Arabidopsis thaliana: one gene and its partner. The protein of the gene in region 1 interacts with the protein of each later gene in a pairwise test. Each region holds a gene or a part of one and is shown in the gene's direction. Other genes may lie near its edges. The genes, in order: SAG29 and AT5G24100.

What was found.
Region 2: the proteins of SAG29 (region 1) and AT5G24100 interact in a protein complementation assay, tested with the Arabidopsis thaliana proteins (one large-scale study listed by BioGRID).

The regions. Positions count from the first base shown.
Region 1 is NC_003076.8:4,175,980-4,192,094, reverse strand, and holds SAG29 (senescence-associated gene 29), read left to right. Parts: upstream 1-8,740; 5' UTR 8,741-8,923; coding exon 8,924-8,975; intron 8,976-9,550; coding exon 9,551-9,587; intron 9,588-9,680; coding exon 9,681-9,891; intron 9,892-9,975; coding exon 9,976-10,140; intron 10,141-10,234; coding exon 10,235-10,354; intron 10,355-10,470; coding exon 10,471-10,764; 3' UTR 10,765-11,053; downstream 11,054-16,115. Other genes in the region: PBS1 (Protein kinase superfamily protein), read right to left, coding at 12,413-12,871, 12,978-13,369, 13,616-13,805, 14,413-14,615, 15,115-15,241.
Region 2 is NC_003076.8:8,136,201-8,152,584, forward strand, and holds AT5G24100 (Leucine-rich repeat protein kinase family protein), read left to right. Parts: upstream 1-12,343; 5' UTR 12,344-12,658; intron 12,659-12,972; 5' UTR 12,973-13,015; coding exon 13,016-14,294; intron 14,295-14,425; coding exon 14,426-14,991; 3' UTR 14,992-15,185; downstream 15,186-16,384. Other genes in the region: AT5G24080 (Protein kinase superfamily protein), read right to left, coding at 3,134-3,505, 3,606-4,056, 4,143-4,323, 4,406-5,763, 5,935-6,191; CHIA (chitinase A), read right to left, coding at 7,605-8,010, 8,282-8,478, 8,648-8,953; AGP41 (arabinogalactan protein 41), read left to right, coding at 15,897-16,014, 16,383-16,384.

The DNA.
Region 1 (16,115 bases):
CCTTCCATAGTTCAAGACTCCAAACAATACGTCTTAATTAATAAGTAAACTTTATATTACTTTTCAAAGGCGCGATGATGATCATATAAATTTAATTGCCGGCCAGTTGGAAGGTTTCCTACTTTGTTCAGAAATCCAACTAAAATAATAAATATGTAATGATTTCTCAACCCTGCATAAAATCACGTACAAGCAATCATATGACATTTATGACCAATCCAATATAAAGATTAGCGCCCATCTAAGTGTTCAAATTTTAACCATGAGTATTGTTCGAGGATAAATTATGAGCATATGACTTATACGTACAAATACAATAGTAGTATTTTAAAACATTTTTACTTTACTTAATAGTTGGTGGTGTACAAAACAATTGATAGTTTGATACTCTTTATTCTTTAACATCTTCGTTTTATTCGTGTGCATGCTAAGTTATTTGTGTTATCTTATATAATTTTTCTTGTATATCTCATCAAGACAAGAAATTAGGGATTTTATATCTATATATTCAAATTTACGTAATGCATGTTTTTATTTGAAGTACATCGTCTACACATTTAAGTATTTTTGGCTCAGATTAAAGGATTTTTAGTTTCTAGAATCAAATAAATATATACATTTTTGTCGACAAATGAAATAAACAAACTGAAAATTCAAAGTCATCACTCGTAATCGATAACGAAGTTGACTAAAAAATATTTTCTATATTTAAAGTATTTAAGGAGGCGCTAGCTCTTGCTTTTATTCTATCTAATGATATCAGTTTCTTCATTTTGAAGCTACACTTTGTCAACCTCAAAGTCGCATATCTCCTTTGATAAAGAAACTTTTAATTAAAATTTTGCATTTATTTACATACATTATAAGTTCAAATGCTTTTCTAGCACGGAAAAAGGAAAAGTCTTTAAGTACTTTTAAATCTCTCTTTAGTTACCCTGAATTTTTATGCCTTCAAATTAATTTTGATAGACCAGAACGTGTGATTGTCATATGAACTATCCAAAAATAAATGTACTCACAAAAATGTACTACTATTCAGGACATATCTCAATGCTTTTACAAAATATTATTGTTTCCACAATCTTTTTAGAGACATCAGACATGGGTACGAAAAGCAAAATCAAATCACTTTTACTTATAATCATTTCATTGGCTATACGAAACCTAAAAAATACACAGCAAGGTACTGCAGCTGCTTTTGTCACATATGTGAGCTTGGAAGTTGAAGAAAACCCACAAAAAGATAGACGAATCCTTTAAGGTGAAGAAACCTGAAGAGTGAAGTTTCTTTTCTTTTCTTCATTACTTTTGAAATATGTTTTAATTGATTGCTTTCCATCAAATTTTGCGTGGCCTTGAACATTGTATGGCTTTTTATGGCATGTGACTGAACAACTTATAAAAAGTTATTTTTTTTTATTCTCTCACGTGTGATACTACTAATCCGTGTGCTAACTTTCTCTTCTTTTTTTTCGGGAAAGAGAAAATAGTTGGGCTTTTGATAAGAAAAAAAAAGTTGTTTCGTGATGCTTATTCCAAACTTGAAAGACACAAATTCCAGCCAATTAAAGGTTAGACTTTCATCTTCATCACTTTTTAGTTTTTACTTTCTTCTTTGCTCTCAAATCTTAAAAAGAAGAAAGAAAAATTACACTAGAGATGATCTTTATTCTCATTAGTGAATACATATCGGTTTAGAATCAATTTTTTGTTTGGTTATCGTTCGGTTTGGTCTGTTTCAACTGAAGAGAAATTTACAGAAATAAGACCAATACTTGTTTATTTTAGTTTGGCTATACTTCCATTTGATTTAGTTCTGGTTTGGTCCATCCTGGTTTGGGTTTGAGATTATGTTTTGAGTAGAAGAAGAAGGAGAAATGTCTTAAGTGTTGTTTAGCATGGGCCTGTTTGAGGACTTCGGTTAAGTTTGGGTTAATGATTCAAAATTTTGAAAATACTCTAGGTTCCAGGCCCATTACGACTTATTGGGCTCTCTCTGTGATGTATTACCAAAAGTTGGTTTTTTTCCTTAAAAAATACTTAGAAAACGAGGGCAGCTATGGTATAGAGACCATTGTTAGTTACATGATACTACTGTCTTCGCTAAGAAATCCGCACATAGGTGTTGACAGTTAGTCTTTATTCCTGTAAATGCTGTTTTCCATTGTTGGATGTCCGTCATGTAACAGTAGAGTCGTAGATTCTCCGCATTGCCATCGATTAGTCTGTGAATGATTTGATTGTCTCCTTCGAACTCCACGGGTCTATAGCTCTGTAAATGCTATGGTCTGATAATTTCTTTATTTGTATTATTAAGATATCTTGAAAATAAATGTCACGTGAATACTTCCGTAAACAAGTAATGATTTTACCCAAAAAAAGGGATTTAATTATTTGGTCTAAGTGACTTGCCCAAGCTGTCCTTAATTGTAGTACGATTTTGTTTGTGAGTAAATCAACTATTTTTAATGACGATGCCGTACCTCTAAGCCATTTTATTGTGGTTCAAATTAATAATCAAGGTTAAGAACAAATGTTTCTTTGTTTGGGATGTTTGGATGAAATAAGCTGGTTTTCTCTTTTCGATAAGACACATTTGGTATATTCGACGACACTAACTTGGGAAAAAAAGCAGCCAGCTCATCATTTCAAACAATTTGAAATGATATATATATAAGCTTTATGTGGTCCATGTCTTGGGTTTAGATGTCGTCTCACAATCCTTGCCTTATCGCCACGCCAATCATTCATTTACATGTAACTTCGGAAATTTGTGATTGATCAAGTCTAAGTTTTTTTTCCTTTTAAAGATAAATACATTATTATCATTAATGCATGGCTACTTGCATTTTGATTGGCAATACAGTTAAAGTAAAATGATGAGACCACGGAATAAAACAAAATATGTGTGTGTGTTGACAAATAATTATATGTGCAATGAAATTGACGTAGAACATCTAACGTTAAGATTCGTTCTCATTGGTTCACAAAAAGAAGAAGATTAGATCTCATTACGCTGTTAAGCCTTAAGGATCTTAGGAAGTCTTTATGAATGTGAAGATATGACAAATCAATAGTACGCATTAGTAACTGATTATTACAAATTTCCTAATGACGCCATTAATTGGAATGCTCAATGACTTGAACACGACAATTAATTAGTTGGAATTCAAAAGTAAGGCAAACAAATACGTTCACGAAAGAAAACACAAAATAAGAATAAAAGAGTCCCCACGTATTGCCACGTCACAGAAACGTCCAAAAAGCAGAAAACCTGCCATTGCCTTTACTTGAAAAGGAATGAGATGTGTAAACGTTCAATGCATCGATCTTCAAATTGTATTTTGGGTACTTTCTTCCACTTCTCTACCATACAAATACGTATTCCTCAAGTCATATACAACTACAAATACCAATCGTATCAAGTATCAACTAGCAACCTAATCTTTTGGCCATCAATCCACTGTACTCATTTTTCATAGTATTATTATTCACTGCTAATATTTCTTTTATAGGATAAACGAAATAGGTTTACCAAAAATGATTATGTATTATTCACTGCTAATTACCTATACAGTATATAGTTTCATGCAACAGAACTATGTTTTGGTAGAGATGAATCTCTTTGCGATTTTTTAAAAATGAACCAAAAAAAAAAAAGCTATTGCGATTTCAATACTGTTTGATAAATTTTATTAAGAAACTGACTTTGCGGTAACAGATAACATGTAATCAACTATTAATCCGTAATCCCAAAGTGAAATGTAGAGTGATATATAATAATAAAAAATAGGTAGATTGGCACATGATCTTTTAGGGGTTAATTATATTATTTGGAAAAAATCCCATAAAAAGTGAAAACATGCAAATGAATATTAATATTATGTGTATAAAGAAAATTTATAATGCCGCTGTAATATGTTTTTTTTTTTTTTGAAGGACACAATGTTCTCTCTTTGTACGTAAAAATGAACGCTCTTAAGAAAAAAAGAATTCACGTTTTCTTCTTCTCTCATTTTCTCACTTATTTTTTTCTGGAGAACTAGTGTATAGATTTTCTTTTGTTTTTAAACGGAGAAAACCATTTATTTTAACAAAAAGAAAACATAGAGATGGGGTTTTTGGAAAGGAGATGTCGTTTGTACTTCTAGGTGTATCCAGAAGACAATAATTATATGGCTACGTGTGGAATGTTCTGACCACTAGACCACATTTCTTTGTATCTGAAACATACTAAATATGAATCAAGTTCTAATCAAACACTATAGAACGCCACGCCTTTTGGGCCCTTAAAACTTTTGAGTCATTAATTCTGTTTCTGGTATAGTCATTTCCTTATTTTGATTTGAGCGTGACTCTACGGTCTATACCTTGAATATTTCATTTGTATCAATATACAGTATAGGTAATTAGGTATATATTATTTTGTTGTTATAAATTATAATGAATACAATTTTTCGCCATTACAAAAGATATGAACATAATTTTTCGTAGTCAAAACTATTTCATGCGAATAAAATCTCATGAAAGGAATACCAGCAACTCCACGAAAATCACACACTCGGAAAGTATCGAGACCTGTATCCAATGGGAAACACAAGTTTGGAAAGATACGAATATCATCGTATTCGTATATGAAAGAACAATACCTATTTTAAGTGCTCCTTGTAAAATGAGTGTTTGCTCTAAATAGGTATCTAGTACTCTAATCAAATCTGTATTTGCTTGAGTTATCATACATATAAAATGGTACCTCTTTTGAAATAAAAAAAACGAACGCCGAAACCCAATATATGAAAGAAAAGAGACGTCCCAAATTGGCTGCATGGATACATCAAAAGCACATTCCATACGATTGAGACTAGGGAAATTGCTATTCTCAGAAAAAGAAAATGTGTATTTTTCCATGCAAACCACTATATATATATATATAAAAGACATACGTTTTTTCATTAAAAATATATATTGAGAAATAACAAATACAACAAAATTGGCATTAACTTTTTCTTTTGGTGACAATTATGTGATTAATATATAAACGCATATTTTGGCCTATTTTACCTATCGTTTTTTTTTTGTTTCTCCAGAACGAATATGCTGGGGTTTTTTTTAAATAGTATATATCCGCAATTAACAGTTATTGTTTCTGTTGTAAAAAATGCCGATCTACTCTATATTAGCCTTACTTTGCTTATTTTACTAAGGTAGCCTTAGTAAAATTTAAGTTTTTGTAAAAAAGCTGATCTAAATTTTTTATTAAAGTTTAGGAATCAAATAGTATATTTTTATTTTAATTAAGTTCAATCTGGTTCGAGTTATCACATATTGGTTTACTTCTGTTTCTATTGAAAATTTGCAATCACACATATATTTTATTCACGTATGGTAATTGCAACTTATAATTATTTTTATTGCATATAAGTCCATAAAAGGATGGTGTCCAATAAGAGGTCGTTATTAAATGTAGGAACCTGAGAATGGGTCTGTTTGATTGATTCTATTAAGAAGGGATGATTAATTGATGAGAACATTGAAAAGGACAAAAAAGAGTTCTAGGAGATATAATCGCTCTTCAACCAACTTACATTAGCTTTCTTCATCCTTTACTATATTGCTTTCATATATCGTCATTTACTTTCATTCCCTCCATATTTAATTTGTTGGACCATAGTTTATTTATGTGAACGACACATTCTCAAAATATCTTGTGTTCTTGACCCATTCTCGAGGCAGAAGACCGATTCGTCTAAGGAACATCCGTTTGATTAAATTAATTTCATCTACTTATCATTTATGGTTATTAATATATGTGTCCACTAACTTCAGCGACTAAGGTTTGTAATCTTGCATCAAAATATGTTGTTTGGTTACTGAGAAAATGATAACGTAGACGGCAAAAGGCGTACTTTATACATGCAAGTTTGTCTTAATATATGTACTAGAAAATTTTAAAACTTATATTTAAGTAATTAATTTTCATCAAGTTTTTTAACAATTCAAAATTATCTCTCGAGAAATGTTATTGTTAATTTTCATGTATGATTGAAATTTCTCTAGAAGTGATACACGTAGTATATTTCTGTCAGAAAAATAGTTTAGCACTTTGGCCATATGTGAATAAGGTGATGATATCAACCATCCCATTACATTTATTTTAATTATCACAACGCTGTAATAATTCTTATAAATATGTATGATTGAAAAGAAATTTATTTGAGTAATTATTTTGAACAACATGGTTTAATACATACACAATTTATGGTATTCTGGCTAATATAGATTCAATAGACCGATCATAATGACATAGTAGTATTTATTTGGTAAACATTAATTAATTCGCTAACAAATCATAGATAGGTATCTATCATTGAAAGCTATATGTAGCATAGCTAGATAAATGTATGTGTGTGTAAAGCTAGATTCGTATAACCGATTGAAATCAGAAAACGATAGGATCGGGGGAGGTTTAATTTCACCCACATGATTGTCATTTTTCCTTTATGTGGTAGCAACATACACAAATTTATATGCATCCATCATATATCAATGTGGGTCACCTAGATGCCTATATTATTGGGGTTTGATCAGCCGATGTTTGTTGTATTTGGGTTGATTTTCCACATAATTCATTTAAAGCATCATCCATTAAAAACGAAAAAACATTTCATATATGGGTTACAGAAATTTTATTCGATGAGAAATGTCAAAATATAAACGAGAAATTGTGATGTGATGCAATATTGCTAGTGAATTATGAATATCTATTGTTCATGACTACTGTATACATATTACTATAAATGTCCATGGATATATTTATAGTAAATAATATAAAGAAGTCAGGGGAATGTGATTGCAAATTTGCATACACCGTATGGATCGTACGATGAACCAAAACTATATTAGGCACCAATCAATCAAAATTTTTAAGAGAAACCAAAGTTGCTTCAATAGTAATTAGAGATGGGGAAATTAAGGTGGAGGAGAACCACAAAAGTGGCACCTCTCATATTTTAAATTATTATGGACCAAATAAAAGAAAGAGGGAGAGAGAGAAACAAATACTCACGAATAAGAACAAGAAGGATTTAACAAACCCATGATCATTGTTATCATTAGCCTACCACGTCACTCCTCTTTTGTCCATTTCTTCCCACTTTTAATATCTGTTTTAACTTACCCTCGAAAAATGGAGAATTGTTTCGTAATTTTCTCAACCTTTTCTCCAAAATATTCAGATTCCTTTCCTCATAACTATAGAAACAAACGTAACAAAAGAAAATGTAATATTCAACCAATCTCTGAATAATATGCATATTACTGCATAACTAGATCATTATACATGCATCCTTATTTCAAAAAATTAACGAGAAAAAGTTTATAAACATTTTAGAAAATTATATATAACTGGAATCAACAAAAAGGACTAATTGTTATTTAATATACTAATATAAGAAATCCTGAAAATAGGGATTAAAACAGGAGACGAAGAGCAAGAAACAGAAAATACTCTAAAGACACGAAACCAAAGAGAGGGTGTTGCCTAGTCAGCATCTGATGACGTGGCATAGCTCTCGTGTGTGTGTGTCTCTACAAACTCTAAAGAAACGGCTATAAGTGGAAGCGTTTGGAGAGGTCACGTGATTTGCACAAATTTTTCGTTTTCATGCTATTATTATCGTATTATTAATCACGACTCTCTCTCGTAACGCATCATTTTTTTCGTTTAATTTACCTTAATTTATTCTCACGCGCGACGCTCCGTTTCGACGCGTGGAGTTTTTGCTCAAAACATGCATGATTGTTAACGTTTTCTTTTTGTACAAGGAAAAAAAAAAACGTGTACCTCTAGACAAGAGTTAGAGAGAAATGAGAAACTGGACCAGGAGATGTGAATGGTTTCATTCCTACTTTGGTTAATCATTGCAAATGCCAATAATTATATAGAGAACGGCGTCAATTTTCTGCAAAGAAATATCTTTACTGGTACTTTTTTGTGCTACCTATAAATGTGTTGGTTTAATCTAGCCATCACACGTATATTTCTAGCTATGTTAGATCTTTAATCATTCTCACCTAGACTCCTTTACAAAAACCAATATAGATGAAACCAGTCCCACCCCTCTCATTTAAGTCATAGTATATATTTGTGTAACGAGAATACAGACAAAACAATTAAATTCATTGTAATCATACTTGAAAATATAGTCAATGAAATTAATTATCCTACATTTTTGAAAACAGTGTCTATAATTATTATGTACATTGAATAGATACGTGGGATATTTTGGATTCCAGTTCATATATATGTAGATTAAAAATAAAGAGAGGGCGATAAAGCCTAAAGAAAATGTACAAATCGTAATGTAATCTAGTGATGATTTCCTCTATATAGGTTGATGTTGGGTAGACTTTTGGTCACCATGATATTTATCTATCGTCTATAAAGTACAAAACTGTGGTACTAAATGTGATTTATGAAAGCTAATTAAAAAGAAGGCGTGAAGAAAATGAAATCGTAATAGACGACGCGCGTACGAGATGAGAGTAGTGGAGGAAAGAAGTAAGATTGAGTGAATGATAAAATGCAAACGCTACCTACTAATATCTCCACTTGTCATGCAACCAGACTGAGTTCGTTTTCCTTTTCGAGTCTTATTTTTTTGTTTTTTATTCTACTCAACACGTTACACGCTTCTAATAAACTCTAAACATTAAAATCAAAATATTTTGACTACAATGGTTATTTTGGAGCTATATATAAACCACCTGAGCCTCCTCAGTTTCCTCCATGAAATAAAAAGAAGCATCTTCTAGAGAGAGACATATAGAGAAAGAGAGAGAAAGCTTTAGGGTTTCAAAAAAAAAAAAAAAGAGACCCTTTAGAAATCTCCTAACAGGAAAGTTTTCTCAATTGCTATAGAAAATGGGAGTCATGATCAATCACCATTTCCTCGCTTTTATCTTCGGCATCTTAGGTAATGATAAATCCACAAAGCCAAATCCTAGTTTGTTCATCATCTCTTGTCTTTACTGTTATTCTTATGTTTTTTACTTGTTAACAAAAGGAATTTGCAACAGCAACTATAATGTTGCAACTTTACATCTAAGCTTCTGTTTTCAAAACAATATATACTATGTGTAGGGTTCCATTGTAGTTCTAGCTTAGAGTTAATTAAACAACAGAGTACTAAGAAATGAATTGAAATTCTGTAGTGTTCATCATGACTCACCTAACAAGTTTCAAGTTTTTTCTTCATTAACTAAACTAAGTCATTTGGGATTATAAATGATCTTCTAATTCTTTAGTTAAATCCCAAACTACCAAAAAATAAATCAATACGTAAGCTATTAATTAAATTGAAATCGTCACGCATTGTTGTCCATGTTATATCATACTCAATACGTGTATAGTGGTTAATGCACAATTTAATTCCCCGCTGAGGTTGGTTAGAGAACCCGTACTGATTCATATGTACTTATGTTTCCACAAAACTAGAAGCCTCTTAATTATACAATTGACTCATTTTTTTATTTTTACATGGAATTACAGGAAACGTGATATCCTTCCTTGTATTCCTCGCTCCAGTGTAAGTAGATTCAATTTACTTTTTTTTATTTCATTTTATTTATTTGTTAGTTTTGAGAATGATTCTGATGATTTCGTTTTTCAAAATATTCAGGCCAACTTTTTATAGAATATACAAGAGAAAATCGACGGAAAGTTTCCAGTCGCTACCGTACCAAGTGTCGCTATTTAGCTGCATGCTATGGCTCTACTACGCATTGATTAAGAAAGACGCTTTTCTCCTAATTACCATCAACTCCTTTGGCTGCGTCGTGGAGACTCTCTACATAGCCATGTTCTTCGCTTACGCCACCAGGGAGAAAAGGGTAAAATTATTCCCCTCTCCTCCTCCTTAATTCCGCTATGTAATTAAATACGAATATTAAATGAATAATATGCGTTTTTGGCAGATATCGGCTATGAAGTTGTTCATAGCAATGAACGTTGCCTTCTTCTCGTTGATTCTAATGGTAACACATTTCGTGGTTAAAACTCCTCCCCTCCAAGTCTCTGTACTCGGCTGGATTTGTGTTGCCATTTCTGTTTCTGTTTTCGCTGCCCCTCTAATGATCGTGGTAAGCTAGCGTTATTTAATTTAATTTGTAAATTTATTTCTAGAACATTATATTTTGAAATAAAATGTTAAATATAAATTCTTGATGTGAATAGGCTCGTGTGATAAAGACAAAGAGTGTGGAGTACATGCCCTTCACGCTTTCTTTCTTCCTCACTATAAGCGCCGTTATGTGGTTCGCTTATGGTTTATTCCTCAATGACATATGCATAGCGGTAAGCAATTAAGCATCTATATTATTATTTATTTTTACCGTTTGCTAAATTTTTTAAATATTCGGTAAAAAGGTTATAACTGACCTATTTTGTATGGCTTTGATGATATTTTGTAGATTCCAAACGTGGTGGGATTCGTACTAGGGCTGTTGCAAATGGTTTTGTACTTGGTTTACAGGAACTCAAATGAGAAACCAGAGAAGATTAATTCGTCAGAACAACAACTTAAGAGTATTGTCGTGATGAGTCCGTTAGGTGTGTCGGAAGTGCACCCAGTTGTGACGGAATCGGTGGACCCACTCTCTGAAGCCGTTCATCATGAGGATCTGTCCAAAGTTACTAAAGTGGAGGAGCCGTCAATTGAAAACGGCAAGTGCTACGTGGAGGCTACTCGTCCTGAAACCGTTTGAAGTGTCAATATGTGAAGCTCAAAATATTGCTCTCTCTCTCTCTCTCTTTCACTCTCTTTCTCTCGGCTCGTCAGGGCCGGCCAAAGGAAGAAATTGTATTATCGGCGGGGTGGTTTGTTAAATTTCCATTTTTGTTTCGTATCTTATTGATGATGTACTACTTGCATAAAGTTTTGTGTTTATTTGAATATATTATCTTTGTGTAAGTTGTAACTAGTGCTCTTTGGAAAATTTGATATAATAAACCTCAATAGCTTAATTACTCCTACTAATAAGCTTTTTTTTTGTTAAAACTAATAAGCTTGTTGACCACCCTTTTTTTTTATGATTGATTACATTTGTCTTAAAGATGTCGCCGTCAGTTAGATAACGAATGGTCTTGTGCCATTGACGACATACTGTTTAACGATTTTGAGAATTAACAAATATATAAAACTCATGAGTCAGAAGAAAAAGTATGTACATAAGTTTGTGATCTAAACTGTCCCCATCAAGTATATACAACCAAAGCAGATTATATTCTTTTTTAAACGAATTGTGTTTTTCTTTGTAGAGTCTAATTTTCAAGTGTACAAAAAATCATCACCGTCCAGTTTTGGAAACGAATAAAAAATTGTCAAGACGTCCCAATGGTCTGATGAAAATGTATTGCAAGCATATCTCACACTTCCAAGTGACAATCACTATATTATTTGCTTATTCGTAACAAAATATACAAGATTACTTAGTTATCTACAAATATTATAACCATCCTATGATTATATTACCCCAAAATATTTTAATATAACTATAAATAACTCGTAAGAAATAATAATATGAAATATATATACTTGTTAACTAACTTACATTTTAAACCGTAACGACAAAATCCGACAAAGAATCATATATATTATAGCGAATTTTGACAAATTACGCATGCCAGTGTAGGATACGCTATGTAATTTATAAAATTAGTATGTCTCTTGATGGAAAAAAAGACAGAGGTTTTTAGTTAATAATTTTTCCTCTTACTTAAAAAATTCTAAAATTTAGGACTATCTAGTAAAGAATAGATTCTCCGAGTATTTAGAGGCCAAGAAATGATATTCACCAAAACTAAAACATACGGGAAGTTTCGACATCCATTTCAATAGACTACACAGTACACTGTCAATAGTAAAAAAAAGTCCCGACAAAAACTTGATAAGACCAACTAAAATCTTACAATCTGAATAAGCCATCCTTAAAATAATTGTCAGATTGCGAGGGCATGTGACCCACGTTGTCCGAAACTCCGCGATTGTGGACATTAGCCACACTACTGAACCACATGAATAGAGTCCAGAAACACTTAATATTGGATCTTTGCTATTCAATCTTTCAATGAGACGTAAACATCGCCACATGTGACTCATCATGAAACACATATCTGTCAAAATTTAAAAATAGAAAGACTACAAAATTTACATGAACAATCTTCACAACTCTCCAGAATCTCAATTAGAGAGTTTTGGTTATTAACCTTTGTGCCCATATTGCAACATCACATATATAATGTACAGCAACTCGTCGTCCCAATGTTTTTTTGTTTGTTTTCTATGTTTGACAATAAATGAGAGTCTTGAGAGAAATAAGAACAAAAAAGGGTCAAGACCGACCCAAACCGGTTCTACCCGGTACTGTTGCTCTCTGAAGTACCCTGCTCGCTCTGTCTTCGTTTCTCCCTCAAACTCTCTCCCCACATCTTAGCCTCTGCAACCGCACGCTCCCTATTGATATCTCGGTTCAATATCCGAGCTGTCTCTCTCGGTGAATCTTCTTTCTCTGAACCTTCTAAATCGAATTTACTTCCCGAGCCACCTCCATCGTCGTTCCTTGTTATTAACCTTGCACCTCTTTCATCCCGGTTTCTTCTACTATCATCTTTACTTGGATCATAAGCTTGGTTTGCAAGATAGGAGAGTGCAGTGACAACATCTGCTATGAGAGGACGTGTAGCCGCCTGTTCTTGGATGCACATTGATGCCACAGCTAAAGCTTGGTAGAGTGCACGCGTTGGAAACCGCCCCTTTAACCTTGGATCAGCCAGTTTTATGAACTTTCGCCTGTCGTTGAACAATGGGCGAGCCTGTTACCACCAAAATGTTAACTATTAGGACCAAAAAAATTCTCAAGACTTCTTGCATACGAGAATAATGGCAAATCAATTGGAAGATGATGACGAGTTGATTTACCCAAGCCACCAGGTTCTGCTCTCCATGAGGCATCTCGCTGTCTATAGCTTTGCGACCAGTAATGAGCTCGAGAAAAACCACACCAAAACTGTAGACATCTGATTTTACTGTCAATTGTCCCGTCATTGCGTACTCGGGAGCACAATAACCATAAGTTCCCATAACTCTAGTGGAGACATGAGATTTGTCTCCCGTTGGTCCGAGTTTAGCAAGTCCAAAATCAGAAAGCTTAGGGTGGAAACCCTCATCCAGTAAAATATTTGATGACTTAAAATCTCTATAAATAACCGGAGGGTTTGCCTTATCATGTAGAAATTCCAATCCTTTCGCCGCACCAGCAGCTATTTTCATTCTCATGTTCCAATCTAAGGCCTCCTTATCCGGTGGAAGATCTGGAAAAAATTATTTGTTAGAGGCTGCCAAAGAAAACAAGCAACTACTACTTCTCAACTTAAGTCTACATGTATAATTTATAGGTAATGATTATAACAAATAAATAAATGAATGAAGAATCTGTTAAAGTTAGGGTTGACATTGACTAAGATAAGAAAGAATCTTTGGATTGATGTTGATCACAAGGAATCTCTGAGGTCTAATAAAATGGTAAGAGATTAGAAAAGGGCTGGCGAGAGATTTACCGTGGAGGTGATCTTCCAATGATCCTAACGGCATAAACTCGTAGACCAAGAGGCGTTGATCTCCATCAGCACAATAACCAATAAGGTTGACTAAGTTGGGATGATGAAGAAGACTGAGCATAAGAACCTCTACCAGAAATTCTCTGTTACCTTGTAGACCATTCCTGTCTAGTTGTTTAACAGCAACAACCTGAAAATGATTGAAAAAAAAATAGATCAGAGGTACAACATTATGTATTGCGAAATCATCGAGCTAAACAAGTGATCTGAAACACACAGGTGACATGGATCAAAAGTAAAGACATAAATGTAAAACTGTTCACCAAGTATGCAGAATTCATGTTAACATATATACAAAATTAAAAAGTCAGTCATCTTTTTAACACTGTAAACATATGTACAACCGGAAGATGGCAAGCAGTATCTTGCATATTCATTTCCTGGCATATTCATCATTCAAGAAAAATGTTGAAGGCCAAGAGAACATCAAGACCTTACCCTACACTCACTTCACAAAGAGCGTCATTCTTGAAATTTCACACGTATTAAGAAACAATTTCAAGCATGTCTCTTGTCATTTACCAAGACTACACATAAAATTGGAATTCTCTCCAAAATTTAGCATTTGAAACGTACAAACGAAACTCCTTATGAAACAAAAAAAATCCTAAAGTGACACTTATTAGATAAGACTCATTCAATATATGAAGCAAAATCTCCCACTAAAATGAATAACAACAATGGTAGAAATAGGAATGCGATGTAATTTACTTAACTTCAAACGAAACAAAAAATACCTGACCGGTGCTGTCAAGCCTTCCTTTGTAGACACGTCCAAATCCACCTTCGCCTAAGAAAGTGTCAGGATGAAAGTTCATAGTTGCAGCAGCAAGCTCGCGGAAAGCAAATGTATGAGCAGCAATTTGTCCAAGTCCATCCCTTGGAAGCAGTAGCTCCCTTTTTGATCCTCCATTGGTCTTTGAGCTAAGCTTCTCCCCACCTGCAACGTCATGATCAAGACCAATCAATTTACCAAACACATCCACTCACAGCCTTCTCATACCTCATGCCAACTTAAACTCCAATAACAAATCACCCTAAAAGCATAAAACTTGTATCAATGTCTCCAAGGCACAATCCCCAAATAACCAAATCTAAGATCTTAATCCTAATTCAGTAGGGATCACGTGATCCTGATCCTCACAAGGTTCGATTCCTTTTCAAGACACAAAATTTACACTGAGCACAAGCTAGAGACTTCCCAATCAGATCAAAACAAGTGAAATTGAAGCAAAGAATGACACTTTCACCAAGAAACACAGTTGAATCAGAACATGCCCAATAGCTTAAAAAAACATCTGACAAGCTCATAAAACCAAAGTAACAGTGATTGAGATCAAGTCCCGTTAGCTTAACCAGAGGATCAAATAACCAGATCTTATGAGCATGTAACGAAAGTGGATTAAAACATAAAAAAGCACAAATGAGTAAATCAAAACCTGAAGGGAGTCCAGATATGTTATTGGATACTGTCGGTTGTGATTGTTTCTTCTGACCATGATTAGATTCATCAACTGGATTCAGCTTCTCGTCATCACTCGAATCAAAACACGAGAAACAACCCATCTCCTCCTTTACTCAATTTTCCCAATAACCAAAAACTACAATCCTACTGGGGAATCAATGAACAGGAGCGATTGGATAAATATAAAAAAAGGCGAGACTTTTCCTATACCCAGAAGGAAAGAAGGAGAATTGAGATTCTGGGTACCAATAAAAAACCCAACTTTGTTCAGATTCGAAACTGGTAAAAACGAATTGGAGTTGAGAGAGAAAGAGAAGGAGAGAGAGAGAGATGAAGAAGCAGCTTCTTTTGTCGTCCACGAGTGTTCACACTATTACCAATTGCGAATTAACAATGACGCGTTGCTGAAACTCTCAGTAAATCCTTCCTTCGAAACTTTTCTCGTTGACGAGATTATCTTCAATACAAGCAAATTAACTTCTTTTCTTTTTCTTTTTGTTAATTTAAGCAAACAAATCTTCTTTCTGCTGTCAAAATAACAAAATTAGTAAAAAAAACTTATTACTTATTTTTAATCACTTTACATAAAATCATATTTCTTCAGTTTCTTTTTATAAAACTTTTTGAGAGTATATATATATATTTTTTTTTTTGAATTTCTATAAATAGTTTTTGGTCATAGAAATGTTGTCATTAATCACCAAACAATTGTTTTAAACTCATTTACCCTTGTAAAATTAAAGTGATGATAGTGTTGACACTTGAACTCATAATCTCCTATAAGTCTTTTTGGTTCTCTCAGTCAAAACTTAATTTTTACCTTCACCTATTGTACAAGTGGATTAATTTTCCCCCTGATTGCACAACATGACTTGTAAAACTCAGGATATATCCCCTTTTTTCTCTAGCAAACTCTATACCACAACACTACAAAAAGATAACTTTGCTTTGGTCTTGAAGCAGAGAACGAAACTA
Region 2 (16,384 bases), 4.0 Mb from region 1:
GCAAGTCCACGTGAGTGAACCGGTAATGTCGATATAAAAAACTATTATTACGTTCTGACTTTGATCGGTTTGATGTACAGTACAAGGAAGCGCGTGTAGGACAAACGCGGATTCACATGAAACGATGTTCTTCCACGTTCCAAATTATGGATTTATGATTATTAGTGTTAATTATGTGGGTTGCTTGGTAATTGGTATACCACAAATAGTTCACACTTAAAATATTGTAATGAAATACCTCCTTAAATTTCAAAAATACTATATATGTTTGTAGAGATTTCAAGTTATCACACTTTAGAAAGTGAGTCCCATTAATATTTTTATATTCTTCATTTACAATTAGATGTTATTATAGTAAAATGACATATGAAGTTCATCAATACATTCAAAAGCATATATATTTAGCTAAGATTATGTGTTATTTAACCAAATATATATATCTTATTAGTTAATAGTTAATTAAATTAAAAAGAAATTAGTAAAAAAAAGTTCTCTATCTTAAATATTTGACTCATTGTAATATGTGGTAGTTTTGAAATAATAATAAATGTTGCAGTCATTTGGGGACTTAGGTAGTGACTAGGGAGGGTAGTTGTCACCCCTATTCAAATTTTGATGTAAATTGTAGAACACATATTGAGGAATTTAAAGTATATATGCCCTAGTGGTTTTTGCTATTTTGTATGACCTAGTTGGTTATTTCTTTACCCGTTTGACTCGAATTCCTTTACATTGTAGTTTCACTTTTCCTCCTGTACCTAATAATATTTAATTTTAGTTGTAGAGATAAATAAATAAAGCTTACTATTATAACAGTGTGTATTCCATACCCCAAAAAAAGTTTATCTCAATAACAGTGTGTATCTCCATATACATATAAAAGTTGTCTCTCTTTGCATAGTCTACAATTCCACTCAAAAAAAATTCAAAATAGATCATGCTAACTAAATCAAGAAATTTCAAATCAAATTATATTACTTTAGTTTTAACTGTTTTTTATACTTAAGTTTTGAAATTAGTTTTCTTATTTATACTTATGTTTTAAAATTTGCAATCAACGTTTTGTGAGCCAAACTGGTCGGCGATAAATATTCATAATTAAACATTTCGCTTGCTCTTGTTATGGATGTATAAATAAGTAAGCTAATTCACTATACGAGAAAACAAAAACCTTATACCAAAATCTAGCTGTAAGAGTAATTAAGGAATGAATAACAATACTACGCCAACGCATTGCTGAAAACTTGTCCTTTCTTAAGCGTCAATTAATCGGAAAAAACTTGGTATTTCATTTCACAGGAATTTCTGTAAACTGTCACTTTGTAATACAACTATGTTACTTTTATTGAATTTTCCATGCCAACATGGTTTATTTTTTCCAACTTTCATATCAACATGCGTTAAAATATTAAAAGATCACCTACTAAACTTGTGCATTAAATAAATCAATCTCTCACTCGTTTTCTTTCTTTTCAATTTCGTCAGCTGCCTTTTCTTTCGCTCACCGTATTAGTTAGTTAATTACGTCCATTTGTCATAAAATATGTATTAAAAAGGTAAAAGTTTAGAAAACAAATTACTCGTAGTATTGACCTAGTCATAAAAATTACGTAACATTATGGAAATTCGCTTCCTTTAGATTTAATATCCATTAGAAAAATTTCACTTTTTCACTCGAAATGATATCACATCAGATCTATTTAGAAATCTAGTGAGTGAGTTGTTCATGAACTATACTTATCCTACATAGTTAGTCCTCGAAAACCCTAGTTTAAAGAAAACAAAAATTAACTAGGATATATAAAAGAAAATGTTTTAATGGTTTTTCACTGAGAAGGGTTTATAGTCTAGTGGCAAGGTCCACATATTGCTATACCTCATACTGGCAGGGCTAACGGATTAGGTGTAGACAAAAAAAAAATGTATTTCCCTACTAAATACAAGAATTTCTTATCATATAAATATTAAAATATTTGAGAAAATTAGGCCATAGGCACTTAACTTTATAGGATTTTTAGTATGCATTATGGGTACATTCTGATATTCCTTCTGACATTTTCTCTTCCTAATGTAGGCGTATTAATAGACCTAAAGAATTTTAGAGTAGACTACCAATACTAATTTTGTAATTTTTCTTAAATTAGAAATATCTGGGGTGATTCGATTAAACAATATACTGTATGTTAGTTTCTTTGTTTTTTTGGTCAACGGTCTACTAGACCTTTCTCTACCTTAGGTGAAAAACTGAATTCAAAACTCCTGTGTGCAAGGATATTCAGAGTTAGCATTGCAAATTGTGATAGAAGATCCGAACAAAAATATTTGTAGATTAAAAACAGTAAGATTCCTGATCTCTAGTTTAAGCTACTTTGTAGCTTAAAATGAAATTTTAAAAAATCAATCTACAGAAGATTGGAACAATGTTCTTGATCCACAGGAGAACCTTTAACCACTCAACTCTACCACAATTGCTTTGGGATAGAAGAGCAAATTTCGACACTGTTTATCAATCAATACTCTCTTTTTTTCTTTTTCTTCCAATCATACTCATAATCAAATGTATTATTCAGTGTTTTAAAATTTAAATTTATTTTATAAATATTTAAAATTTATTATAAAAAAAAAGTTAAAAGTTTTTAAAAGTAGATAGGAGATGAAAATAAATTAATTTCGTTTTGTGTTGGCTATTGTACTATCTTTCAAGACGTCCAGCGCTAGAAACGCTCTCATGGAAGTTGATGATTCAAAATGAAATAGGATTTGACTGTCCCAAGTCCGTCTTTAGCGGGATAGATACCGCTAGAGCAAGATCCGATGATTAAGATAAGAGAATCGTTTGCCTTCTCTAAGTATGGAACTTCTAATTTTTAAAACATTTACAAGTCACGAGTATTAATTTCTTCTCATTTTTTCCGTAAACCCAATAAGTTCATGTAAGTTGGTCCAATCTATGATATGTGTTAAGTACAGAGCTGGTCTGAATAAAAGTCCATCAAACATACATGAGCTTCTAACTTTTTAATTTGGTTTAGTGGTAAGAGACTTAAACATACATAAATATCATATTTTTGATTAGTCCTAGAAATAGAGAAATGATCTCAAACAATAAAATGATGCAAAAAAGAAAAGAAAACTACCTAGGAGACATTGAAGAATAACTACAAGTAGCATGAGACCGAGAGGAGGAACGATAACTCTGAGAGGTTGTGATTGTATTAACAGTCAAAGAGCTAAGCTGATTATTGAACTCTCTCCTCATCGCTCTATACACATCCTCCAATCCTTCCTCTATAAGTTCTAGAATCGTCTGTGGCATCGGTGGCAGATTTATCTCATCCGAAGTGCCTTCTAAAAGCTTAACCACCTCACCCATCGACGGCCTCATCGATACTTCGTCTTGTATGCACCAGAAAGCCACTTTAAGAGCCTTCACTACTTCTTCTTCCTCTGCTACTCCTTGTAGCCTTTTATCCACAGCTTTCAAAGATGTCCCATTCGTTAGTTCCTATTCATTTATTTTCAAAAACTCGTTAGGACGTTATAATCTTTATGTTTATAACTAATTTAAGCCCTTTCTTTATATTTTAGAAATCGTCTAAATTTACCTTGTAGGCCCATCCAGGGTAAAAGAAATCCTCAGCGTCATAGGACATATCAAGATTTCTCCTACCACCTACGATCTCTAGAAGAAGCATTCCATAACTATACACATCGGCCTTCACCGTGATCGGGCGGTTACTCACCCATTCGGGCGCTAGATACCCTCTCGTCCCTCTAATCATCGTAACCACATGCGAATGCTCTCTCCCCATCATCTTGGCTAGCCCAAAATCTGATACCTTAGGACAAAAATTATCATCCAACAAGATGTTTTCAGGTTTAATGTCGCAATGTATAATCCTGTTTCGACACTGCTCATGAAAATATGCGATTCCTTGTGCAGTCGCAACCGCTATTTCAAAACGTGTTCGCCAATCAAGTAGATTAGCTGTCTGTTCTGAAGAGAATATCCATTTGTCTAACGACCCATTTATCATGTACTCATAAACTAGAAGCCTGTAATGTCACCAAAAAAACATTTATTCAAATCTGTTTGCTTGAAAACAGAGTAAAATGTTTTGTAAAAGTCTTCTAAGTCATACCGGTGTGAGTCTTCCGAGCAGTAACCACACAAGCGAACAAGGTTCATGTGATGCATTGAACCAATGGTATTGACTTCAGTGATGAACTCTCTCTCGCCATGAGATAATGCTCTGTCTAATCTCTTCACCGCGACTAGCGTTTCACCCGCTACTGTTCCTTTGTATACTGTCCCAAATCCACCTACCACATCATAAAACAAAGAAAATAAGATTTGAAACACTTCTAAGTTAAAACTTGTTATATGATGATTGTTGATTCTGACCTGATCCAAGAAGTTGGGAGAAGTTGTTGGTACAGTTCTGGAGATCGCGGTAAGTGAAACTCACAGGAGAGTCACAAAGGATAAGAGAGTTCTTTGCGGCTCTCTTTAGTGTTCTCTTCCTATCTAAATTATAGTATAACAACATCCCAAGTAGTGCCACAAGCACAAGCATCCCCACAACTATAGGAATCACCAGAACCTTTTGTCTTAATCCGTGGCTCTTACGCGATTTAGAATCATTATTATTCGAATTTGAGGGATAAGATTCATTAGCTCTAGTCTTCACGAAAAGGGTTGAGCCAGGATCTCGAAACCCGCCAAAATTCAGACTCTTTAAAATCCAACAATAAGGCTTCTCATCATCTAAACCATAAACTGAAGCTACACACTTGCAATCTGACAAACACATCTCACCGCATTTCCTCACGTTGCTGATATCGCTGATATTTTCGATGACAGAACGTTCTGAAAAATAGTAGTTGGTCTCTTGGACCGTCGAGATCTTGAAGCTACCGTTACGATTAATGTTGCTTTCACATTCTTGGACCAAAGATGAGTTGTCTGAACAGAGTTTAGCGTTTTCTTGATCAGGAAGTTTGACCGAACCGGGCAAACATAAACAGTCAGCGTTTTTCTTGGTTCGGTCCAAATTGCAAACTCCGTTACCGCAAATCCCAGCTATGTCACACGGGTTTGATACAGCTGCCCATTCAGGGACCCATTGGCTTGAACCGTTCATGTCGTTGTCCCATCGGTATAACCGGAGATTACCGTTGTTCTCTAATACCAATCTCCGCAGAACCGGATTTTTTGTTAACCCTAAATTACTACTGTTGTTGTAATTCCGGTTATCATCTACCGGGTTCTTGTAGACGTACACTGCTCCTATTGAGGATTCTCCATAAACGATCTTGAAGCTTCCGGTATCGTCAAGAACTGCGGTAACATCTCCTGTAACATTAGATATATCTGGTCCGGACCAGTACGAGTAGTTTGCGTGAGGGTCAAGATTGATGTTGTAGGTTAGGCCGAGGCTAAGTGAAGTGTGTTGCTGCAGCATTTTCAGGGAGTAATGGCCATGGCGCGACGGTGAAGGGTTAGAGGTTAGTTCTAAGGAAACGGTTAAGGGTTGGTTTGGGAGGAGAGTGTCGGAAGGTTGCGAAAAGCTTTGCCAAATGGTTGGACCAGCAGTAACTTCTGTTCCAAGGAGGAGGAAGTTTCCAGATTCGGACATAACCGCTGATTCAACACCATGGTTTGACGTGTTTGAGGTCCAGACGACAGTGTTTTGGTCGGAGAGTACGAGGTTTCCCGTGGCTTCTAGCTCCAACACGGCTTCTTTTGTGACTGGGGAGTTTCTATATTTTAGATATTTATATTTTTGAGTAAAAATAATGTGGAAAATTTCTGATCATAGGGAAATCAAACGTTGGTACTAAAGAAATTATTTGAGCTTAACATAAAATTTGTATATATTTACTACTAATATAGATTGCTTCAATAACTAAATATCAAAGGATTATGTGTACCTGTTGGGAGACCAGACGATGGTTGGATCACCAGGAAGTTGTGCGAACCAAATGCTCAGTAAGAATCGGTCGGTTGGCTTAAACCGAGTAAACCCGATTGCAAAAGTACCGTTAGCAGAAACCCATGCCCGGTTCGGTTCACTAGCTTTTAGCTTTGAACCCAAACCGATGTGCGGTTCAGTGGCCAAGCTAACTAAGAAGAAGCAAAAGAATGAGAAGAGACCAACAGAAGGAAAATAAAAATGAAATGAAGACATAGTAGAATCTTGTAACAAAAGAGAATGAGGCTAAAAAATCGGTATACCATGTGGTTTAGTAATCTTTATATATCACTCACTTATATAATTTGAACGCATTTAGAGAGATGGTTCGGTGGGAGAACTCTGAAGAATGAGATTGTGGCACGTGTTTTTATGGTTGAACTAGATTTTCACAAAAGGTCTTCGTTTTTGTAAATGGTCGGCTCTGAATAATTGACGATGTTGGATATATTGGATATGGCGGCACCTGTTTTGTGCCTTTTTGTATTTTTTTATTAATATTTAATAGGATGAAAACTCCAGCTATAGTCGAAGATGTAACAATTAACTTTATTTTTCACACCAATATATGATCTATAATTTGTGAAATGTGTGTTCATGGTACGTAAGATAATATAGTGTCGCATAAATCAACATAAATCAGCACAAATCAACTAATGTTTATGCGTTCCCCATTACTATTACTCTACATACTCTTTTCATATTCAAAAGTTTAAATGATGGCAACAAATTAAATGAAATCATCAAACTATTTTTATTTGGCTAGCCAAAATGGTACATCATTTTAGATCCATTAGAAAAATCGATTGAATGAGTTATTTGACGACTATACTCATTTTGAAGGGATTATTTGGATCAATCCTTGTTTATGAAGCAAATAACAAATAAATGAACTAGTGCATGCATGTTAAACCGTTCATAGCTCAATTAGATTAGATATTTTAGACTAATCCTTTGTCTAAATATATATAATGATTTTTTTTTTTTGAACACGATATATATATATATATATAGTATATATTCTCTCTGTTTATTACTTGATCTTTTATTACAAAAAGTTATTTTAAAATAGATTTTTTTTTATTGGTTTTGACAGTTTATATTCTGCATATTAATTTTACAATTAGTTAAATCTTATGTTTTAAATAGTTAATAAATAATATCGGTTTGCCAAAACTTAAAACATCAAATATAATATACAGAAGGAGTATTAGTCAAAAATCTTTTTTCATCCTTCTGATGTGGACAGAAGTCTTCTATGTGCTTACAATATGTTTATTTTTCTTCTGAATCATGATTCATCTCGTTTCTTTGCGCTTCCGATAATTTTCAATTTCAAATATAGTTCCAAAGTAGATATCGTATCTCTAAAAAAACCTTTCATGTAAAAAAAAAAACAAATCTTGCATGCAGCTAGCTACATCTATATCAGTTCATACTAAAAGCGAATCCATAATTTATTAAAAAAAAATATTGAAAAAGCAAAGTTGATTAAGTATATTGATACAAACAATTTAAATTAGACTACTAACACCACACACACACAACAATTCTTCAGAAACCAAAGACGAGAGAATTGATACACATACGAGAGAATTGATACACATACAATGGCCATAACGATTCTTTTCACACACTAGCCAATATAGATGAACTGTATCCATTTTTATCATCCCAGAATTTAGACCAAAGCATTACACCTCCATACTTCCTAGACTTCTTTAAAGTCGGAAGAATCTGTGAAGTCAGTACATCTGGTGGGATATAGCCACTTCCGGCAGCTTCAGGAGCTGCCGGTAGACCCAAGAAGAATTTTTGGGCTGCGATTGAAGTGGTCCACTTGTTCCATGAATCGAAGAGGTTTTGAGTATTACCTGAACTGTATGAACACGGTGGATTATTGTAGAATTGAATCCAAACATAGTCAAAACGTTTAGTGTTGAGAGCACTTCCCATTAATCTGTCTGGAAATGGACATTGAGGAGCTCCTGTTAGATATATTTTTCTTCCTCTGTGGCTAAACTTTGAGAGAGTCCTGTACACATTTTTTTTTTTGAAGTTTAGTTTGTTATTTTCACAAAAAAAAAAAGTCAACACAAAGAAGGAATTTAAACACCTAAACAAAACTTTTCTATATAAAGTTCGAATTTCGTTATCTTTTTGGACCGGAACTAAAATAGATAAATTAGTCACCCAAATCGTTTGGTGGTGTTCAACATCTTCTTTTGATAACTAGTCTTTTTCAGTCACGACAACATTTGTCATTTATTCAAAATGTTTTCTTAATTATACATTTATACTACTACCTGGCGAGATCATCCCAGTGTTGAGGAGAGCCAAGCTCGATATTGAAATCGATACCATCTAGAACAGCATCACCTAAGGGACGTGATGATGATTTTCCTCCCAAGAAGTTGTTCCACAGATAATCAGCGATAACTTTTGCGTCCTCCCTCGACCCAATCGAGTAGTTTCCAATCCCGCCGCCGAGAGACAACATAACCTTATAACAATTTTGACATAAGTATCAAAACAAATGTCATTTCAAAGTAGCTAACTAAATTATAGAATCAAAATTTGAGTAGATAAAAACAAAAGCTATTTATTTTCTATCTCGGAAAAAAAACCATCTAGACCTAAAGGATCGGATGTATGTGAATGAACGAACCAACCTTGATGCCACGAGACTGACAATCTTTGACCTGAGAGCCAAAATGGGTGCAAGTGTTCGCCGCAGGGTTGCAGTGGCCGGCAAGGTTGAGCTCCGGTGTTTGGCCATTTCCGAATTTCACAAGAAAGGCGACGTTGACGTAAGCATACCGGCCGGTGGCACACGTGGCAGAGAGGTTACCTTCGTTTCCGTTTTGGCCCCAATAGATGGCTATGCCACCTCTGGATGCATCGGAGGGTTTGCTAAGAGAGCAGCTTATGAAGAAAAGAAAGTATATAACATGCTTGCGAAGAGTCATGTTGGTCATGTTTTTGGTTAAAGATGTTTTGTCTTCTTTGTGGTTATGTGTTTGTTTGTTATTGCTTAACTTCTTTTTTTATAAAAGAAGTAAAATATGACTTTTGTTTGCTTTAATTTTTATATCTTATCTATGTATGTTATAATGTCTCTCACACACATTGCATGACTTTGATTGGTTGTTTTTTTCTTTCTTCAAATAATATAGCTTTCCTACTTAAACTAGATATAAATCTCAAACATTAAGAAGCCATCTAGAATCTCTTACCACTATGTAATTGTGTATAAAGAAAAAATAAATTTCAAAAAAAAAAAAAAAACTTGGGATCAAATCAGTAATAGCAGTCGCAGTCTCGCAGAGGGTATATATCATAACCTCACACTGTGCTCGTCGTCGTCTCTTGTGGTGTTGACTTTGTCCTCTTGCTGGTTTACGTGACATTTGGCACATTTCAATTTATCTATGAGTCGGAACTATTTTTGATCTAAATTTCCATTATTCAAATTAGAAATCGAAATTGTTGTTGAACCATAATTATTATGGTAATATCCTATTTTCCATTTGTTTTTAAATCTTCTGTGAATTGAATCCCTAAACGTATTAATAATTTCTTTATAAGATGAGGGATAGGACCGAGAACTTTTTTTATCAACTAGCTTTGAAAAGGTCTTATTTTCTCTTCCAATGGATGGATAACCAGACCAGCATTTACTAATTTTTGAAATTAAAATCATTAAAAACTTTCAAAGTCTTCATAATAATTGTTTTTACCAAAAATACAATCATTGATTTGACTCGATAAATTTCAAAGTCAAATGATATACTCCGAGTATATTTTATTAGGCCTCCCCATTAATTTATGTAAAATCCAAAGATATATATACAATAGTATTTTACTTGGACTTGAGTAGTATGGAAAATGTAAAGTTATCATAATACAAATTAGTAGTCCGAATTACATCGTAAATTAAAAATACATAAAATTAATCAGAAAAAAGTCGCATGATAATCCAACCTAATTTCCATATATTGTCGAAAATTGTTGACCAAAGTGTTTTGGTGATTTAGAATATGTTGATTCTTTAGACAAAAAAAAAAAAAGAATATGTTGATTCATGAAACCGGCCACTAAATATTGATCCAGGGAGATTGTTGATCCATTTGTAAAGGGCAAATACTCGTAACCCAAATGTTGTTAAATATTTGGGCCAAAACTGGACCATTTTCTAAGGGTGTGAACTGTGAAGGTTGTATTGAAGTTTAAGGTTTTTAAAACCTTAACAACTCTTGACAATTTCCCTTCGGCGTTTGAATATATTCATTATTGTATTGGGATAATTAATGTTTTCGCTTTCTCTAATTGTGAGACGGCTATGTTAAGCAATTGGGAATAGAAAAAGCTATAAATTTGTTTGTAATGGAGAAAATAAATTAAGTTGTAAACAATCATTTTCCCATTTATCATGGTTCGTCATCGTTCCTTGGCCGCACATGCAGCTATAATAGTATATGCACAACAGCACAGCAAACAACATATATTAGTAAAATATAACAACAACTATTAATCAAGGCAAAAACTTTACGTCAATGATTGTAAGATGCTCGCAGATCATGTGAAGTTACATTGCCAAAAACACATAAGATATGGTTTTAGTTTAATATATTATATTAATCACTAGATATACAAATTATTCATGCAGTTGCATGTGCATACCATATATAGACTTTAAATATACTCTCATATATAGGCTCATATAGCATAAAAGGTCCTTATCTTAATAAAGTTTTCTGCTTTCTCCCCTAATTTTTATGTTGGAAAAGCATTGCAATTTTAGCGTTAAGACATTTCGCATCGTGGTTCATGTTTAAATTGTTATATGTGAATATTCAAATTCATGCATAATATATCTAAGAGCCGTGCCTATTTGATAGAATTAGAAACACTCGCCTACGGCATTCACTTTCTTATAAAATTTACATAGGCATATTTATTAGATATTTAATGTTATGTTGTTTATATGTAAGATTGCTTGTTATGTTTTTTTGTTCTTGACCTTAAATGATCGTCATTAAATCAAAATTAATCCACCCATCTTCTTTTACCAAAAAAAAAAAACATCCATCTTTCTTATTAAAATTTTGATCATTTAATTTTGTGTTTATTTTTTCTCATGAGCATGTTGTTGTTCCACTACATTGATTCTTCTCCTTTAGCAACTTCGTTTTAATAAATTTTTGCCAAAGTTCTTTTTTTATACATGTTTAAAACTGAAAATAGTTATGTCAATATTGAATATCCCATTTTATATATCAAGTTTCAATATATATTTGACCAATAACAGAATAATTTATCGTTTAATTTTGACTTCTAGTTCTGTTTTTATTTATTAAAATATATTTAAGCACTAAAAGATATTCTTATATGATATTTATTATAAAATACTAATAGAATTTTTTTATACGGGAAAATTGTCAAAAAAATCACGAACTTTCAAATTTGGGACGATTTAATCTTGAACTTCACGGAAGACAAATAAATCGTAAAGTTTTTGTTGACTTTCGAAATAAATGACAAAGCTTTTGTTGACTTCCCATTTGAGTCATGTCGTTAAATAGGTTAACAGAATTATTTTACGGCGTTAATGTCTCGTGTATATGCTCTGTTAGAACAAAACGACGTCGTTTATTGAGAGACAAAAGAACGTCGTTTTGTCTGTTAAAACAAATTTAAACCCTGAATCTCCAATTCGATTTTATTATCTGCGATTTTGAGGTCAAGGTGGGTCTGTGATTTCGAGATAATGAAATCGATTTGGGGATATAAGGTTTAAATTTGTTTCAAGACAAAACGACGTTGTTTGGTCTGTGCAATAAACGACGTTGTTTTGTTCTAACAGAGCAAATAAACGAGTCATTAACGTTGTAATTTTTTTTTTGAACCTATTTAACGACATGACTCAAATGGCAAGTCAACAAACACTTTCTCATTTATTTCGAAAGTCAACAAAAACTTTACGATTTATTTGTCTTCCGTGAAGTTCAAGATTAAATCGTCCCAAATTTAAAAGTTCGTGATTTTTTTGATATTTTTCCCTTTTTTATTTCGCTTATGTCCTTAAAAACTCTTGGCAACAGGAAAAAAAATTTGCGTTGTAAAATTGGATATATGAAAAATCGACTATTTTATCTTCTAAAAACCTTTACACATTAACTAATACACAATGTTTTTCAAAGTCTCAAACTACGTATATTGTTTAGGGTTCACACTAGCTTTGGTGGTAAAAGTTGAGAAACTAAAAAATATGAGGGTTTTAATGTTAATAAAAGAAAGAAAGAAAATGATACAACAGCTCATATTCCCTTTAATGATTTCTAAGTTATAACAATCCTCCATCCAATATTTGTCACCATCACGCCCCAACTAATTGTATTCTTATTTTTTAATAAACCAAGTTCCAAATAATCTGAAACACTGAAGCTCCTTGAACCAGATATGCGCCAATTAAACGTTTACTAGCGTTTTGACTTTCCTAAACAATGATCTTTTATGTCTTCCTTCTTCAATAGCTATTGCCTATAGTTTTGCAGACCAAACTTCTTTGGTCTTTCTATCTTCTCTTCTTTCTAAATTCTCATAACTATCTCTTACATTCTCTCTTCTCAATTTAAACTAAAGTTTCAGCCAGTCCTTTAATGAGATTCCGCATTTGAACTGTAAGTTATTTTTTATTTTATCTTCACTTTCTTTGCAATTACGTCTGAAGAATCTGTTTGGCTTATACATTTGATGACTTCAACTTTTGGAATGTTCTAATTCAAATGTCATTTTAGGCATGAATAAGTGTAGTTTTAGTTTCGAACCATGTCTCAGAGTGCATACACTTGATTTGACAAGAGAAAATAAAATTATAAACAAAATGATGAAAAGACCATAATATTGGGGGAAAGTACAGGAATGATTTTTTCTTTTTCTTGGCAAAATCGTTAAAAATCTACATTTTCTCATACAATAATATTATCTAATGCAGATATAAAAGTCTCCATCACATAACCAGAGAAATTAGTAAGAAGATGAGTAGAGGAAGATCTTTCATCTTCTATTTTGTTTTATTTCTCTTCTTTGGATCATCGGCTCTGTATTCTCAGGTCACCGGTGATCTAGCCGGTGACAGACAAGCCCTTCTCGATTTCCTCAACAACATCATTCACCCACGGTCTCTAGCGTGGAACACAAGCAGCCCGGTATGCACCACGTGGCCAGGGGTCACATGCGACATAGACGGCACACGTGTCACTGCCCTTCACTTGCCCGGAGCAAGTCTTCTAGGAGTGATCCCACCTGGTACTATCAGCCGTCTATCGGAGCTTCAGATCCTCAGTCTTCGATCCAACGGCCTACGAGGGCCGTTCCCAATTGATTTCTTGCAGCTTAAGAAACTCAAAGCAATTAGTCTCGGGAACAACAGATTCTCTGGCCCATTACCATCCGATTACGCCACGTGGACGAATCTCACTGTTCTTGATCTGTACAGTAACCGGTTTAACGGTAGTATTCCCGCGGGATTTGCTAATCTTACCGGACTCGTCTCGCTTAACCTAGCTAAAAACTCATTCTCCGGTGAGATTCCGGATCTTAATCTCCCCGGTCTACGCAGACTTAACTTTTCCAACAACAATCTCACCGGATCAATCCCAAATTCTCTGAAAAGATTCGGGAACTCGGCTTTTTCCGGCAACAACTTAGTCTTCGAAAATGCCCCTCCTCCGGCGGTAGTTTCATTCAAAGAGCAAAAGAAAAACGGCATCTATATCTCTGAACCCGCGATTCTCGGGATAGCGATTAGCGTTTGCTTCGTGATATTCTTTGTAATCGCGGTTGTGATAATCGTTTGCTATGTGAAAAGGCAGAGGAAGTCAGAGACAGAACCAAAACCAGATAAGTTGAAACTAGCTAAGAAGATGCCAAGTGAGAAGGAAGTTTCTAAATTAGGAAAAGAGAAGAATATTGAAGACATGGAGGATAAGAGCGAAATTAACAAAGTAATGTTCTTTGAAGGAAGTAATCTGGCTTTTAACTTGGAAGACTTGTTGATAGCTTCTGCAGAGTTTCTAGGGAAGGGCGTTTTTGGGATGACGTATAAGGCGGTTCTAGAAGATTCCAAGGTTATCGCTGTTAAGCGGTTGAAAGACATAGTAGTGTCCCGGAAGGATTTTAAACATCAAATGGAGATTGTAGGAAACATTAAGCACGAGAACGTTGCTCCCTTAAGAGCTTACGTGTGTTCCAAGGAAGAAAAGCTTATGGTGTATGATTATGACTCTAACGGCAGTCTCTCTCTTCGTCTTCATGGTACGTTCTACATTTTTCATATTTTTGCAAAGGCAATACTTTCTATAACATATAAAGGCAAACAAACAGTTGAAACCTTATTTGATAATATTGGTTTCTTGCATCTGAAGAAAGTTTTTTTTTCCCTGCAGGCAAGAACGCAGACGAGGGTCACGTCCCGTTGAACTGGGAGACGCGATTGAGATTCATGATCGGAGTAGCAAAAGGATTAGGTCACATACATACACAAAACCTCGCACATGGAAACATCAAATCTTCTAACGTCTTCATGAACTCGGAAGGATATGGGTGTATATCGGAAGCCGGTTTACCTCTGTTAACCAACCCGGTTGTGAGGGCAGATTCATCAGCCAGATCGGTACTACGTTACCGTGCGCCAGAAGTAACCGACACGAGGAGATCTACGCCAGAATCAGACATATACAGTTTTGGAATATTGATGCTGGAGACTCTAACCGGAAGATCGATTATGGATGATAGAAAGGAAGGGATAGATCTAGTGGTATGGGTGAATGACGTTATTTCAAAACAATGGACAGGTGAAGTGTTTGATTTGGAGCTTGTGAAAACTCCTAACGTTGAAGCAAAGTTGCTTCAGATGTTGCAGTTAGGAACAAGTTGTACGGCTATGGTTCCGGCAAAGAGACCGGATATGGTGAAAGTGGTTGAGACTTTGGAAGAGATTGAGAGAGACTGATTAATAAATTGTAGAATTTTTATTTTACGGGTTTTGGCATTTATGATTTATAATTATGTCAGTGGCAGATATATAAATTTTAGCTCCATTTCTTTACATTTAGATAATTTACAAACTAAAACGGTGTTTAGCATTTAGATGTAGCATAGGAGGACTTAATTACTCAATCATTAATATAATTCCGTAAGTTTTATAATCTTGAACATTTAAACATTGACTCTATTGATAGAATTTATTTGTAGGTTTTGAAATGGTTTTGTTGAAGTTTGGATTTTATCTTTTATAATGTTGAAAAATGAAAACAAATGTGGTTTCGTATTATTGAAACAAATATATTATGAATTTTAACAACACAAAATCTAAGATTATGAAGGTAAAATAGTACAAATTGGTATAATTACGAATTTACATGGCCGTGATAAATTCTAAAATTAGTATGCAACTACCGAAAACAAAAAGGAACAATTATGTTTTTGGATTAATGGCAATAATAGGGAGAATAATGTGTCCAAGCTGGACACAAGAAGCTAAAAAACAGCCTAATAACCTCTCTTTTCGACTACACACAATTTGAAACAATAGCAGTTTTTTCACATTCACAAGTTTCGATTTCCATTTCCAAAAGCATCAATTATTGTGGGGCAAAAATGAGTTGTTCCGAGATATGCGGGTCGACCATAAAGTAGAAAATAATTGTTCAATAAAATGCCAAAAGAATCTCTCATTATTCTCATTACCTCATCTATCGCTCTGCCTAGCTTTTCTTTTGATTTCTTCTTTTTCATTTTCCTCTCTTCTTTGTTCTTCCCTCTCTAAAATCCTTCTCCCAAAAATCAAGGAGTTGAGAGAGGGAAGAACTTTAACAAAAGAATTTAAGAACTGAAGAAGGAGGAATAAACATCGAAATGTCGGGCTCGAGGCTTTTCTTCGGAGTTTCTACAATTGTATCGATAATTTTCGCCATTTTGTTGCCGATGGCACATGCTCAATCCGCAGCTCCTGCTCCGGCTCCAACAAGCGACGGTGAGTTGATATAATTATCATCAATGGTTAACTACAGAGGTTTCTTGAAAATTTTCAGATGTGTGAATATCTTAAATGTCTCTATACATGCATGCTCACAAAATTATCTAGTTAATCTATGCCTTTTGTCATAAGATATAATAAAAGAGTAGTTAATTAGTTATCTCTTAACCAATGAATATGTAGTTCTACTCTCTAATGCTTTAGATAAAACAATGCCATGTCCATAAGATTCGGATTTCTCTAGTAATTAACTGGAAATGTTATATCAAATAACCATAAAGCTGTAACGTAAAATTGCTGATTTCTTTATTAGATATTACAATTATATCTGTTCGGATGGTTAATTATGGAACAACATATTGCAGGA